Caenorhabditis elegans: one gene and its partners. The protein of the gene in region 1 purifies or fractionates together with the protein of each later gene. This does not show direct contact. Each region holds a gene or a part of one and is shown on either strand. Other genes may lie near its edges.

Region 1 (6,721 bases):
ATTTAAAGCTAAAATTTAAAATACTCTTAAGAAGGCTCTTGAAGATGTATTTGGGTGCAATATTAATATAAAAAATACGGTATTCAACATTTACAAAAATCAAATATAAATGAAAACCAATATACTTAAATTTTTACATAAATCCAACTAGAGTACCATTGAAATATCTATTTCGGTTATTCACAACAAAAACTCGATTCTAACTGAGTAAAAGATCATCCGAAGACAAGCGGAAATTGGCACAAGCTTTCAATCCGGCTTAGAGGAAAGCGAAATTCGAGATTTATTGAGTGGGAAGATATGGGGAAAAGTGAGAAAACGAACATCTTGCAGCTGGAGTCATAGTTACAGAAATCAAGACAAAACTTTTTTTCAAACAAAAAATAAAAAATTTATCGCGTTAATTTTGATTGATTTCAACTATTACTTGCAGATTAATAAAGTTTTGGAATACTAAAAATCTTGAAAAGCATCCAGACTTAAAAATATGTATGGGACATTTGCCTTATTTTGATCTACATAGTCACACTAGTATGAATATACAATCAAATTATAAAACATGTGCAATAAAACATGATGGAACTTCAGAAAAAAAAACTGGGTTAAACTAAGTGATAGGTCAGTTTAAGAGGCACATTTTCAACCGGAACTTCTTGACAGTTCACAGCAAATTTGAAACCAAATTTTGCAACTTTAGCGATGGAAATGTCTAAAGGATATTAAACAGCGGCAAATTTTCAAGTTGAAAGAAACGAACTCGAAATCTATTTTCCTGAAATAAAAAATATAGAAGGAACCTATCAGGGAATATAACGTCGGTGAGGAAATGAGGATGAAAGTGATGGAAGAAGAGAGAAAGGGGTGCGGGAAGAAGAGTTGAAATTCATTGCTCATGCAAATCTTATGCCGTGTGTCTCTGTATGTATTTGTATGTGTGAGTGCCTTCTTTTTCCAACCATTCTCATTCTTCGCCACCCTCATTTTTGTCTGTTTCCTTTATTCAGTTTTCGATCGTCTCAAGATTTTTGAGAAATTTCATGAAATTCGCTAGGTTTTCGATTTTTTCTACCTTCCAGAAGTAATTTTTTATTTGAAATATGTGTATTGTGTAAAGTTTTCTTGTTAAAAACTTACGGTGTCAACTTCCAACTGCTTTGGGATATTTTATTGCAAACATACACTTCTTTTTTTGTCTACTTTTCTGTCAGAAGAAAAATATATTCGAGTATGAATAACCACTGAATTTACTGTATTTTTTTAGTTTACAATCGATGAAGTTTTCAGCTGTATGGAAAAAAGATGGAAAAGATTTTTCACCAGGTTGTCAATACGTAACGCTCTTTTGCCAAAATCTATTGAAATTATTACATAATAACTATTATTTTAATTGTTATCAAGCGTTGGCTTTTTAATTACCGTCTTTCCTCTAATAGCATTACACTGTATTGCTCAACTTTGGCACCTCATATCTAGATTGTCTTTGGGTTGATCAAAATGTTAGCAACTAACAAAACATTGGGTATTTATTATCTATAGTTTTGTAAAAAAAATAAGTTGTAAAATACTTCAAAAGAACCGAAAAATAGGCTTTCAAAAAGAATAGGCGGATGCAAGATTTTACGATTGTTTTGAAACTTAGAAATCTTCCAATAATGTGTTTCTATAACTTTCAACACCTCTTCAAATAACTCCAAATAAATAAATGTATTTCTAGACACTAAACCCATATCTTCACAATTCTACAGCATCAATGTCTCATGACAGTAGGCGTGACCATCTTTACAAACATATCAAAGAATGGGCGTGTCCTGATGTCAATTCTCGTCGATTGGTTATACGATTACGGTGGCTAGACGAGACGCAGAAAGACCGCTTTCCTGCCAACACATTCCAAGTGGCTCCCGTGTGAAAAAGAGACGCAGCAAAAAGGGAAACGAAGAAGAAGAAGACCGCCCCTCTTTTGACTACTACCTCTTCCTTTTCTCTCTTCATTTTCAACACACACATCCCATCTTTTCCACAGTAGTGGCCACCCCGTTGCTCCTGGACTTCCCAACTGATGCTCATACCTTCGTCGTCATCCATACCGTCTTCTTTATCTGCTTCAGCATCCGATTCTGAGCCATCATCACTGAACGGAAGTGGTATAAGTGATCAGAATATTCTACCTAATTATCATCTTCATCATCATCTAATTAACGAGAACGAGATGGAGGCAGCCAATTATGCACAGGTTAGTTCTTCTTTTTATTCGTTTCCTCCCACAACTGATTTGATTCTGATGAGGACGACATTATACAGCGAGTAGGTCCAAAAAAGGAGGCAAGCGGGGGGGGGGGGGCACAGCATTTGAATTTCAATTTTATGCCAATAAGAATCAGCCCCTCGACTGCCCCATTCAGTTCTTCTACACTTGTTGCCTCAAACTCTAACAGTGTCTTACCGCTGTTACAAAGTTGTATATTGTACATTGTTCTGATAGATTGTTATTTTCTAGGCATAAAGTAACATTCATCTAGAAAATTAGTTGAGCTGATACTCCTATATTTTAAGGTGTCTCTGATAGTACCTCAACTGCTTGTAGATCGACAAATGATGTAGTTGTTTCTTTCATTTGTGTTCTGAAAGTATTAGGTGGAACCGTAAACCCAGAATTCTGATGTTCCTGGCAGTATAAAACTTTTTATATCCTAGACATAAAGTGCCAAGCTTCTGTAATTTAGTTGAGCTAAAACTTCAATAAAGTATTGTTTAGATTAACTACTTGTAGGAATGATAACAGGTAATCTAAATCTATATTTTCACTGGCATTAGGCTTTCATTTATACAATGTTTATTTTGTTATAAAAATTGTGAACTGTAACTCCAGATTTTTGAAATTCTTACAGAGCAGTTTTTTCATTGTGAAACTAAAATAATTAATTTGAAGTTGAAATATTAAACATTTGCTATTATAACTATAAAAAGGTCTACTAAACCGTCAAATTGGAAAATTGATTTCGAAATAATGTGGGGACTAATAAAAACTGCAAAAATTGTTTGGTGAAACCTTACCTACTTTTAGGAATAATCAACAATGCATTTAACTATAATTTTATAAAACTCTTTGAAATTTTTCTCATTGATGTTTTTTAACTGCCAATGACTTGGTAAAAGAAGTATAGAAGGCTTAAGAAACATTTTGGTCCTTGGTCAGTCTAGAATTCATGAAATCGGAGCCGTAATTTTTCATTATACTGGTTTGTAATTATATCCTTTTTAAACACCTCAATCAATATTTGTATTATTTTCCTATTCACTAATGTACCTTCCAAATATCCCAGAACAATACAGTATCACTAACACGAACTGCACGTCATCACATATCATTCTCTCTGTAAAACTTGATGACTCTTTTTCAATCCGATTATCAAAATTTCCGCCCTTTCTTCTGTTTCTAGTACATCTCTCTTCATGTACACAAACTACTACAGTACCCCTTGAGTCTCTCAAAGATCGTTGCATTCGTCTGTCTCCACGTAGATACCATGTATAATAGACTCATGAGAATCTTTGTGGGAAACAGTTATCAACAATTCAATATTATTTTGTCATGTGTGGAGCGAAAACCAACAGAAAAAGGAAGAGTTGATGATGTACTAGAGGGTAGAAAATTGGCAGATGTAGTCCCTAAGAAGGCGCCGTGCTAAAGAGGATTAAGATTGATTGGCCTCTTTTTTTCTCTAAGCTGGGTGTTCATCTGTTCAAGACTAAATTGGATCGAGGCCAAAATTGTAGGGCCAGAAAATTGAACGATTTTATATAAGCAGTGAGGGATGAAATAAGAAGCTCCGGGAACATTGTCACAGTTCATCAGAATACTTTTATTTCATTAATATGGCTGAACTTTCAAAAATTACTCGAAGGAGCTGCGACCCATAATGATGTTACATACAATCGTCTCAATCGATTAGATTTCATAATGAGATATTAAAAATCCTGATTTATGTTGCAAATTTGAACTGTGTGTTCCGTTTTTTCACTGATTTTTCACTGAATATACTTTTTTCAATTGGTAGGCGCACATACCATTTTGAATCCTTTAAAACAAGGAAAGTTATATCTTTTATTTTTAGCACACTTTTTAATAGTTTCGGAACGTTTCTTATTTCAAAAATATTTAATAAGCTGTCACTCGAAGTACCACGTATTTTCAAAAACGACATTACAATTCTAGCTGCAAAATGTTTCAGGTTATCAAACCAACATGCGAGGCATTCCAAGATTGGCCGCATACTCCAATGCTGTATCAACAACCTCAACTTCATTTCATGCTTCCACAACACGATTGGGCATATCCACATCTTGCTCAATCTCTACCTCCTCCACATCATCTAACACCGTCCACTGCAGCAGTTGCTGCTGCAACAATTGCCTCACAAAGTTCAATAATCAATCAAACGTCTGTGGTTACAAGTACACCTTCGTGCCAAATCAAACAGGAAGTTGAACGACCTGAAATTATTCAGAGGTTAATGCCTCCATGGCCACCAGCTTATCAATTTTCTTGTGATGATAGTGGATCAGTGAGTGGAGCTGGTGGACCACATCAGCCATTATCTGATATTTCCGATGATAGTGAACAGACGTGTCCAGATGATTTGGAAGGATTTGCAAAACAATTTAAGCAGAGAAGAATCAAATTAGGGTGAGTGAAAATTTTAAATGTTCTCTACACATAACTGTAAAAAGTTAAACTTTTGAAAATAACAATTTCGATATCTCAAACATTTCGAGGCAACGTTCTGTCAACCAGCTGGTACAATGCCAAAGTTGGGCAGAAAGTTATCCTCAAATTCTGATCAAATTGGAATTTATCAGTTGGCAATTCCTCATATTCTTTCATTTTCATGTTCTTCAATTTCCAGATACACACAAGCAGATGTAGGTGTGGCTCTCGGAACACTCTACGGAAATATATTTTCCCAGACAACAATTTGTCGTTTTGAAGCGCTTCAACTCTCTTTCAAGGTTTGTTGACTTTCATCCACATGACTTTCAACGGAAACTGTTTCTTGTTGCCGACTTTTCTATGTTTTAATTGAATTTAATTTCGTTATAGAATATGTGCAAACTAAAGCCACTTCTATTCAAATGGCTCGAGGAAGCTGATTCAACGACTGGCTCGCCCAATTCTACATTTGAAAAAATGACAGGGCAAGCTGGAAGAAAGAGAAAGAAGAGAACAAGCATTGAGGTAGTTTGTGTTTAAAACTGAAAAATGTTATATACCGGTGTTTCAGGTCAATGTAAAATCTCGTCTTGAATTCCATTTCCAGTCGAATCAGAAGCCAAATGCACAAGAGATTACACAAGTTGCCATGGAGTTGCAGCTTGAGAAAGAGGTAAGGATATTTTTCTATTTTCCGGAATTTTTATTACTGTGAACTTCGAATTTTTTTTACAGTAACTTGACAATGATTTGAGATTTTGATTATTATGAATGAGATTTTGATTATTAATTCATTTAATTAAAGTGTTTCTCTACAAAAAAAAGTGTCCCAATAAAATATAAAGTTTAGGTTTAAGTTTAGTTTAGTACGGTTTAAATACCGTTAATTAAAATTGCAAATGTAGAGTGTGAAAAGGGTGAAGAATGAGGCAAGTGAAAGGGGCGCCTGGAGCAAGTTAAACGCCTACCTCATTAAATTTTTCTGAAACTTCACTTTCTCAAAAGTATAATTTAGGTTGTCCGTGTCTGGTTCTGCAATCGTCGTCAAAAAGAGAAGCGAATAGCTCCAAATCAATACGATGCTCCACATCCAATGGCTTTAAACAATGGATATCCAATGACTGCTGACCTTTTCCCATATCAAGCCGTCGTCAATCATTATACTCAACAGAGCCCGAGACAACAATAGTTTTTTGTGATGCGTATTGATGTAGCAGTAATATAATAATAATAATACTCAAATGAATCACCGGTAATTTATAATGACAGAAAGTTTAATAGTTTTCAAACATCCTTCTCTGAAGAAGACCAACAGTATTTCTTTTCCCCTATTATTTTTTTTGATACAATCCTCTTCACTTCTCACATCATTCTGAAAATGGGTATTCGTTTTTTACAATTATTAATTAGTTCTATTGTGTATCATTTCTAAATTAGTTTCCAAACTTTTTATTTTGTTCGAATTCATTTATTTTATAAATATCTGTACGTTAAAATGGAAGTAGCATATTTTAATTTAGATGTCTGCTGAATATAATTATATATAACTGTCTTTTTTCAGAGTAGGTAAAAATCAGAATTTAAAAAATTCAAAAAAGGAAATTTGATCTAGAGCATAAGCTTTCGAATAACTCATATAACTTTAAAGTTTTAAAAAAGTTCAAAATTTTCAATTTTGCAAATAAAACTGAAAATTACTGAATTAATGTATTTCTCAATTGGACTTGCACACTTTTGCTCTATTATGACAGCTGTATCCGTTATCATTGTCTCAGTTGTCTCTGCATTTATCAAAAATTGTCAACTGTAAAAAGACGTGCAAAATTTTTCTCTATATTTTAATTATTACAACTTTTTGATAACAGTTAAGACATCCGATAAAAGTCTATAAGTCGCCGAGCCGTTGGGGGAAAATCTACTAGAACAACTACGGTAGTTTTGAATTCCCGCACAAATGAATGACCTAGTTGTGGGAATTTCATAAAAATTAGAAATTTGAATTTTTTGCAA
Region 2 (4,564 bases), on another chromosome or scaffold:
TCCTCCCACCCATGAGTCTTTCATTTATGTTTGTCTAGCCTGACAATTGACCTGACCACCAACCATCAGGTCTCTCCCACGTTTTGTATTTTTATTATGCACATTACGAACTGTGTGAAAATGGCTGTCGTATCATAATAAATTTTGGAAAAAGAAAACATCTGAAATGTTGCCAGTTCTTTGATTCTCAAAATGTTCAAATGATATTCATAAGACTCTCATCTTGTTTGCCATATTGTCATTAGCAGGTCATCCTCTTCTATTCAATTCTGGCTAATCCCCCGTTCCCCCTTTCTCTTATAATTCATCGTTCCTCACTGTTTGGTTGAATGAAAGAGCACAACAACACTTGTAATGAGTTATTTCATATTTTGAAAAAGTTGCCACGTCATGGAAAGCCAAGACACAGTGGCGGTCTGCTTTGAGGTCGTCACTGTCACCGTCGAACTGTTTTTGATCGCAAACATACATCGGTTGTCTCGTCTCTCGGGTTGTCTCTCTCTACCTCTCTCTCTCTCTTTTCCTTCGGTGACTACCTCTCCTCCCTTCCCGCCACACCGTCCTCCCCCTTCCACCGACTATTCCACCTTTTTGTGGTATGTACTAGCACTATTCTCTGCGTCTGTTTTACAGTTCTCATTCTCTCACACACACTTATTTTTCCCCAATTCTTATGGTAGTTGAATGTGAGTACAGTGTCCACTAGGATCTAGACTTCAGGACTCATTCTGAAAGTTGAGCCGAGGTCACGTGTGAAAACTGAGCTCTTTTCCTACACCTTGCCCCTTCTTGACAATTGTCGTTCTTCCTCTTTCTTATCATCACTTGACTTTTTTGAGCGACATGCTGGACAAGACAAGTCGTTTAATGGATGATGTTGCGATTTACTATCATCTGTTAGTATGCGCTAAGTAGGTGCGAACGTATGACGAGTTACAGTAATTTATTAAGCTTGAAGGTTTTTGAAGGATTTTATGAAGTTTGATCAAGTTCTTGAGTTAAGTAAACATTTTCTCTTGTGATCTTAATTGATTGTGAAAATAGTGAACAATTCAAGTTCTTGAAAAGATTTGATTTGTGTAAGTTAGAAAATGTGTGTTACCAATTACTGTTGTATTTGACTTCTAATGGATCTTCCGAGTCAATCAGATTCCTTGGCGCTCGGTGGTCCTGCTCCTGCTGCTAAATACACCAAAATATTTGATGAATGCGGTGCGACGGCGATGCCGCCAATGTCTCTTTTCCTAACGGACCAGTCGTGTATGTGCTCTGTGTATGTGCCCCACTAACCGACGACGACGACCCTCGCCCGCCCCACGCCACTCCCACACCCCACCCCGTCTTCATCCCTTTCCTCTCTCCCGTCTTCCTTTCTTCTATCCCTCGGTGCTGTTCTAGTTTGTGTTTTTACTAGGCTCTAGAGGGTTCCGGAGGGAAAGAAAAAAGAACTTCTGTGCTTTTCATCACCATCTTCCTCTCTCATCTCATCTTTTCATTTTTTATCCAGCTGATTTTCGTGTGTTCTCAATGATTCAAATTAAGACCAATTCTTTAGGATAGTTCATCATTTTTGGGGGAGCAAACTGGAAAAACTAAAAAAGGCAACAAGACAAAGATGAGCCGCTTTGACAGCCAGTGCAGTAGTGAAGACGTCAACAAAGAGGACGAATGTGTGCCGTCGTCATCTGAGGATAGCCAAGGTAATGAAATTGTAACTGAACCGTCTCTGTGTCTTCTTGTATGTCATGTCAACCTAGATACGGGTATTCCCAGTGGGGGCCGTTCTTTTAGAAAGATGGCCCCATCTTCACCAGCGTAAAATGTTATGATTCTCGCTGCGGATTAGCGCTTAGCGGATTAGTCGAACAAATGTACGAACACATAAGAAGACACATGCGGCAATTCTTTTTTGTAACTTTTGATTGTGTGATCTAGATTCTAAAGACCGCCTACTTGAAATAATTTAAAATATAAATTATCAAATTTCAGACGGCGTTTCTTCCCCAATGGAAAACGATGACGAACCAGAATTTTCCCAAAAGCATTACGATATTGAACCATGTTATTATAGTCTTACAGGCAAATCGGATAGGAATTGCCGTGGAATAGTAAGTCATTTTTTAATTCAAAAATCTGAAATTTGAGTAATTTCCTGTACTCTTTAATAGTTATAATCTGAATAGACATCTTATGTATGCGTATCTTCTTCCCCTTCAATATCTCAACACTCGAAAAACCAATTAATTGTCGTTCTGTCGAGTTTTTGGAAGAGACACAGACATTTAGGCAGTTTAGTGTGTAGGGGAGGTCAAAAGGAAGAGGAGACGCTGGTCATAATTCAAATTCTCTCCCGATTAGACGAACATCGCTACAAATAGACAAAAACCTGGATTTCAATCTTTTTTCACCCGTTTTTTCTGCGAAACGTTTTGATGGCTAAACCTCAAACATTGCGCTTACACACACACACATTGCGAGCTTCAAATCGAGAAGAACCAGATAGTCAAACACTGAGAAGATCGCGAGCCGAAAAAAAAACCGAAGTGACCTCTCTTCTCGTTTCGTCAAAAATTGAAAATTGAACTTTGACTAGATTAGTTGTCAGTCGGCAGCATACTTCCTCGAATTGTGCGCATGTTTTCCAAAAAAAAGCGAAGCGAGGCAAAAACAGCTGCCCAATTTTTGATCTGAAATTCGAGACAATTGCTTTTTTCTGGCTGGCAAGGAAAGCAAAGTCAACAGAAGTTTTCGGAGACCCCAGAGAGATGCTTCTTCCCTCAAGAGAGTACAAACAAAAGAGACGCTTGAGAGTTAAAAAGATAGATACTATGCGACAATAGACACACAAACACAAAAAAACATTTTTTGCCGCATTATATGATTTGTTTGTTTGTTTTGAAATGTGCGCTCATAATATTTCATTCTCTCACAGTTTAGTGTTAGTTGGCATTGACCTAGTGTGAGACGAGGTGCCAATTGACAACTGAAGCTAATGAGAGGAGAGACGCAGACGACAAGTACAAGTGAACACTAGTTCATTTCACCTCAAAGATACAGAGAAACCGGAAAGATAAATAAGACAGACTAGTTTCTAATATAATATCGTTAGTTGAAAGTTTGAAACATACAAATCTACTGATTTACTAAACATATTTTTTCAGGTATACCGGTATCGACAAGACAGTGATCTAAAAGGGTTTCAATCACATGATGGCACATTGTACAGGCTACGAGATTCAGTATTCGTAGAAGTGTCACAAAACGAGCCGTATGTGATAGCGGCAATATGCGGATTTAAATATGTGAGTAATGAGATCGTGAGGCATGTCAGCAGATGGTTCTGCCATATTAAGGTTTTTGAAATAATTGTTTCTTGGAAACTTGTTCCTCAAAAATCAGAACCACAATAGATCAAATCGTTCCACAGTGTTACAATGAAATATTTATATAATGGGCAACACTCAGTGAATGTAGCGATAAGATAACAAATTCGGCATTTAAAAATTAATGTTGCGAGAAACCGGGTGATGTTTGACAATTTCGAAATAAATTGATAGAAAAGGGGGTTTAAGGACAAATTGAACTTTTTGGAAAATGAAAAATGAGGTTTTCTTTTTGAAACTAGAGATTCTTTGATACTTTATAATCTCTGCTGACCTCTTCTCAAATTCCAAACAACTATCAATTTACTTGTTCTCTATATCTCTTCATTCCCTTGTTCCTTGAACTACTGGTTTAGAGGAGGAGAGAACCGCACTTGTGTAAATATTGACACAGTTTTAGTGGGTTCATGTATTCCCTTCATGTTTTCCTTTCGACTGATAGCACTGAATACTTTTTTAAACATAAAAGTATAAGGAAGATGTCATTGAGTCATTTGCCCACTTGTTCGTCCTTCAGAACCCACTAAAAACCGTGTCATAATCGGATTGCGCGGGAAGTCGTTGAGAATTAGAGAATGCATTGAAAGTGAAAAAACATAAACTTTTTAATTCAAACACTTTTATAGTATCATCACAAAAACATACATTTTAGTATACACAATAAAAGTAGAAAGTTTGCTCACTTTTATGAGCTGTGAGAAGAACATAATGTTCCTCTTTGTTGTTGACAAAGCACATTCACGTGACCAACTGATGAGCTTATTTTAGAATTTAAATAGGAAATTGGGATAACTAGTTTTTAAAGCCAAAATTCTAAGAGCAACAAAATTACAATATTTTCTAGTTTTGACAACGCAGGGATAATTTTTCTTCTGGATTTTCAAAGCCGAAAACTGAGTTTATCAAAAAAGGTAAATTCCTTTGACAGGGCTACACATAGTATTCAAAAAATGATAAGAGATTATATATTTTTCAAAACAAAATAAAGAATACCAATTTTCAGACAAAACGAGATCACGTGGTAGTGAAACTTACGAGGTACTTCAGAGCAGACGATATACCTGAGATATCTTTAAATTTAATGAAACAAGAACGAGCTGAGCTTGAAATCAATCCACATTTATGTCCAGTTAGTTTAATTTTTAAGATTTTCAGAATTACTCACATTTATTTTTCAGCAA
Region 3 (4,737 bases), 1.5 Mb from region 1:
TACAAGAATGAGTACCTGGCGCGAATCGAATCGAATATGTCTCCCCTCACCACCACCACCACGGGGGTGACAATTATCATCAAATTCGTCTCGAATCATCGACGACGTCTTCTGATGAAGAGAGAAAAAAAAAGACTTTTTCTGGGGTTGACTGTGTTCATTAATTCAATTAGTGTTTTATCAATCATTCAACAAATCATGCAAGTAATTCAGTTATTCATTCATTGATTTGCCATTTTTAGAAATTTCTGCTTTTTTAGTCAAGTTCTGAGGTTGAGACTTTCTTGAGAACTTTCAATAATGTAGTTCCATTTTCACATAAAACAATTTCAACCTGCCATGTTATTTTTAATATCTCAGCTAACACCTTTCAGAGCTCACTTACAGAAGCTTAACATCTGCAAGACGGAGCAACCATTTTTTCTGTAGTCTGGCGTCGAGCATGATTTTTAAAAATGATTTGTACTAGAAACTAATTGTGACGCCACAATTTGCGAGAAAGGGACACTGTCACTTTATAGCGATATATGTATCTATAACAAATTTCTGGGTTAGCTTTGCACTAAGGCTTGTATCTGAAAACGTCCGATCCTCATTTCCTATCTAAATTTAGAAATCAAACTTTACAACTCAACCTAAAATAATTCTAGTCTACAAGATCTGATGACTCATAATCCGAAAAGCCTGTAGAACACACACAAACAGAACTCAGACCCCACCAAATTTAACGGAATCTTCAACCGCATCTCGCACTTTATATTCATACCGATCCGATCTTTTTTCCATCCTTTTTTTCCAACTATTTCAATTGCAACACCGTATCCACCTCATGGAAAAGGGGAACCGCTCACTCACTCATTTTATACGATTTTCATCTTCTACACCCTCACTTACTCACATCATCACTCACTACCTTCCCCTGATCATTTTTTGAGATATTCTTTCTTTACCCAACCATGAACAACAAAATTTCATATTTACACTCGAAAAAAATCATCCGATTCAAGATTCTTCTGCGGCTATACTCGTCATTTGGCGCGAACTGATTGCCTATGGTTGATCCAAAAATTACTCTTTCAAAAACTGACAAAGCTCGGGGCAAACTTGAGAAAGTCCTGGTTTATGATGTACCCAAATTAAACTCACGTTTTATCTAGCTGTTGTGAAACTTGTATTGTATCGTTTTAAACTTGGCTGAGACGCTGAAAAGAGTTAGATCAATTTTGGGCTGAATCTGGGTGCGGCCTAAACCCAGTCATATAACCAAGTATTTCGTAACTTTTGCAAAGACAAATGGCGAGCCGGTGCATAATTCAAAAATGTTCATTCCAAAAATGCATTATGGGCAAATTTAGACTATAGGCTCGCCGCTCGATAACTAGCTCATTCGAGCAATATCATTTATGATTAATGACTCTATTTTAAAGTTCAATTTTTTATCGTCAATTGAATTCCATTCCCATTCCCTTACTGCCATCTCGTGTCTTCAATACTTTTACCATTTTACTCTAATAATATAAATTTTGATAATAGCCTTGTTTTCGCAATATGTGCCCCCTTGTCCCGTCGCCTTCTCATCTTTCTAATATAAATCGTTTTTGTTCTGTCTCTTTTCTCTGTGTGTGTTGTTTTGTATCCTTTTCTCTGCTTTTTTCCCTCTTCTTGTCCACTATTACTCTTTCATTCTTTGCCTATCATGCTCATCTTCTAGTAATTTCAACTTTTCAGAGCTCCAGATGAATGAGCTGCTCGCCGAGATGGCCGCGGTTTCATCCCGCAGAAAACAGTCAAAACCACGTCGAATGTCTGGTGGTAAGTTGAGGGAAATGAGAGGAAAATGCGGGGTGTTTAATGAAGTAAAAGACAAGAAAATGAAACAAGGCGATGATGATCGACCTTGAAATCTTGAAATTTTCTGCGAAAATAACAAAGTTGAATATTAAAACTTAAAACGCACTTTTGGAATGTTTCAAAATCATTTTAGTTCTACATTTTTGAAGGTTTTTAGACTTTCTAGAAAAACCAGTTATCACTAGTTTTTATGGGTTTTTGGGACATAAGTAATGAAAATTGGAAGGAGACAATAAATTGGTGTAAATTTACAATTTTAATGTCAATTCCTCTTATCAACTTATCAATATTATTCATATTACTTCGAATAGTTTCGGACGAGACATTTGCTAGAAAACCAGTATTAAAAAAAAATTAATATTACCAAAACCATCCTAGTTTGGCATTTTCATTTAAATATAATTTATCATATATTTCTCGTTCATTCATTTTTTTAAGTTTTAATGAGAAATCTGTCACATCTGTTCCACTTCAAGGAACACTTTTTCATTAAAATGTTTCCAACACAGAACCTTGTCAAATATGATAACATATCTCTTATCTCTATCTCTTTCGTATCTTCTTACCTCATTTTTAGTGTTTTTTCAATGCTTTTCCTTCGATTCTTTCAATCATAACCAATCAAAACCTACCGTAGTCCAAAGAGCTCCTCCCGAAGACCAGAGACACTTATTATATTTCCATTCATCTTTTCATATTGCTCCGCCCCTCCGTCACATTTCCATCCAATCATAAGCGACTATGAGGAGAAAGTGAGAGAGAAAAAAGAGCAAGAAAGCAGAGAAACGAGAGAGAGAGAGAGAAAATGTCCAAATATGGGAGTGCAAGGGGAAGGGAGAAAGAGTTTCGGAGAAAAAGAAAACCAATCAATTTGGCAAGTTCTGAGACAGACAGACATGAGAGAGAAAGGATGAGAGCATGTTGAAAAGGGGATGACAATTTGACAATTTGAACTTGGTGTCCAGCTCAAAGAGCAAGACTGAAATTTGTTTTGAAAGTTTTTAGTAGATAATGTTAACCAAAACGAGTTTCACAAATATTTCACCTGTGACAATAAAAGTTTAATTTTCCATTCAGTACTGTCAAACATTTCAACAGCTGTTGACAATTCGATGAATGTGAAGACCCAGTCTCTTAGAGCATGACTTTGTATGCAGAATATTTCTTGGTACTTTCTGCCTGTGTATGTGCATACAAATTTTACAGTCGTATATTTTCTATAAACATGTTGAAATTTAAGATTAACCTTTTTTTATTTAAAGATATATAGGCTTACTATTAGGCCGAGGTTGCCTTGCAGGCACGTATGCTCAAAAAAATTTTATATTCATCTTTGAGAAAAGAAGTGTATCATTTGTATCATAATTTCCGGTATCAGTTGTCTCTAAACCACCACCATCAGCTCTCGGCTTCATCTTCACAAATCATTTTTTGTGACGAACAAGTGCTCTTGTGTGTGAGACTTGAGACTTATTGTCATCTCATCTCTCTGCTGATTCTTCCATTGGCTGAGCCCATTATTATTTTTTTCTATTGAAAGCCTTATTGATTCTCTCTTTTTTGTGCTTCAAGTGGCAACATTATTGTGTTCGAGGTCCGCGAGCCGCCGCCTTCGACACGAGTCGAGTCGAGCCATCATAAAATCGAATTTATGATCGAACACAAAAGAAGTTTAGAGTGGCAGGATGAAGACGTTGTTGTTGCGAATCAGAATTCTTCTTCTGTGGGTCTTCTCCCCTCGAAACTCGATCATTTATTATAGTGTTTTTGTGTAATACGAGAGAAATAGTGTGCAATATCAGAGCTTCCTCCTTCAACAAGCAATATGAATTGGTTGGACGATGGAGACGAAAATTGAAACATTATGTGTGTGTGTCACAATGTGTGTGTGAGAGTGTGTATTTGAGGACCAGCAGAGTATCATCATCTCATATATTTTATGGATTTTTGATGGTAGCAGAGGTAGATGAGTTGAAAAAAAAGATATTTGGGGAGGAGGAGCGTTTGGATAACACTCATTAACATTGGAGGACTCTTTATGAGCGCGTGAGAAGAGAATGAATGAGACTATTATTGAATGGATGATATCAAACCAACTGACTCGCACACAGATAAGATGATAAAAATGAAGAGTTTTTGAGTTTTTGCTCATGAGTTGCAGTTACCAGAGTACTTTATTTTAAGGGGCTCAATTACGATATTTGCACAATCAAACAGTTCAAAACTGAAAATAGATAGCGTCATGTAATTCTCGCCTCGAACGAAAGTTTGGGTAGTTCCTTTGAATCCAGTACTATCTGATAATTGAAAGATTTCAGCTGCAAAAGGCAACTCGTCACCAAATTCTCAGCCAAATTTCGCCAACTTCGGCCACTTCCGTAAATGGCACCTAGAAAAACGCTAAAGTTGGTTAAGAAATATCGTTGATTTTCCGAGCAGTTTGACGAGATTTTTTGTTTTAACTTTCAGCTGAAATTTTTTTGAGAGCAGATTTTTCGAGTCTATTTACTACTACTTTGGAGGACCGTAATTTTGCTCTTAAATTGAATTCGGAAAAAATTATAATTGTAAAGGTCTCTAGGGGTATGCAAACATTTTGGAATATTTTTGGAAATTTTAATTTAAAAAAATTAAAGCCTAAAAATATCCAATTTTGAGCAGTCTTCCAGTTCTCAAAGAAATGAATCATTCACTTTAAAAATTTTCAAATTGAAATTTACTTTATACAGTTAATGTACAGCGACATTTTGTGTGGTTACCCAAAATTATATTAAAACAATTGAAGATATCTAGAAAGTTCAAAATTTGTTGCTTCCAGTGTTTTTTGAAGAAACAGGATTTACTTTGGATCTTTTGATCTAAATACTTGAAGTTGTCGTTTTGCTT

What was found.
Region 2: the proteins of ceh-6 (region 1) and egl-27 purify together in Caenorhabditis elegans (affinity purification with western blotting, with the first as the bait; one study listed by BioGRID). This does not show direct contact.
Region 3: the proteins of ceh-6 (region 1) and sem-4 purify together in Caenorhabditis elegans (affinity purification with western blotting, with the first as the bait; one study listed by BioGRID). This does not show direct contact.

Annotation. Positions count from the first base shown.
Region 1 is NC_003279.8:8,497,599-8,504,319, reverse strand, and holds ceh-6 (Homeobox protein ceh-6), read left to right. Parts: upstream 1-1,715; 5' UTR 1,716-2,059; coding exon 2,060-2,233; intron 2,234-4,232; coding exon 4,233-4,687; intron 4,688-4,907; coding exon 4,908-5,010; intron 5,011-5,101; coding exon 5,102-5,236; intron 5,237-5,282; coding exon 5,283-5,384; intron 5,385-5,726; coding exon 5,727-5,900; 3' UTR 5,901-6,208; downstream 6,209-6,721. UniProt on the Caenorhabditis elegans protein: Vital for embryonic development and essential for the proper function of the excretory cell. Required for the transdifferentiation of the Y rectal epithelial cell to the PDA motor neuron during larval development.
Region 2 is NC_003280.10:6,833,466-6,838,029, forward strand, and holds the start of egl-27 (Egg-laying defective protein 27), read left to right. Parts: upstream 1-1,555; 5' UTR 1,556-1,615; coding exon 1,616-1,700; intron 1,701-1,989; coding exon 1,990-2,108; intron 2,109-2,121; exon of another isoform or gene 2,122-2,228; intron 2,229-3,161; coding exon 3,162-3,302; intron 3,303-4,386; coding exon 4,387-4,512; intron 4,513-4,561; coding exon 4,562-4,564. UniProt on the Caenorhabditis elegans protein: Transcription factor which promotes stress survival and delays aging. Required for cell cycle progression and development of the mesodermal and endodermal embryonic lineages.
Region 3 is NC_003279.8:7,037,172-7,041,908, forward strand, and holds the start of sem-4 (Spalt-like protein sem-4), read left to right. Parts: upstream 1-1,728; 5' UTR 1,729-1,736; coding exon 1,737-1,812; intron 1,813-3,469; exon of another isoform or gene 3,470-3,540; intron 3,541-4,737. UniProt on the Caenorhabditis elegans protein: Transcription factor, involved in positive and negative modulation of transcription. Binds to multiple DNA sequence motifs in the regulatory elements of target genes, including homeobox selector egl-5 and LIM homeobox mec-3.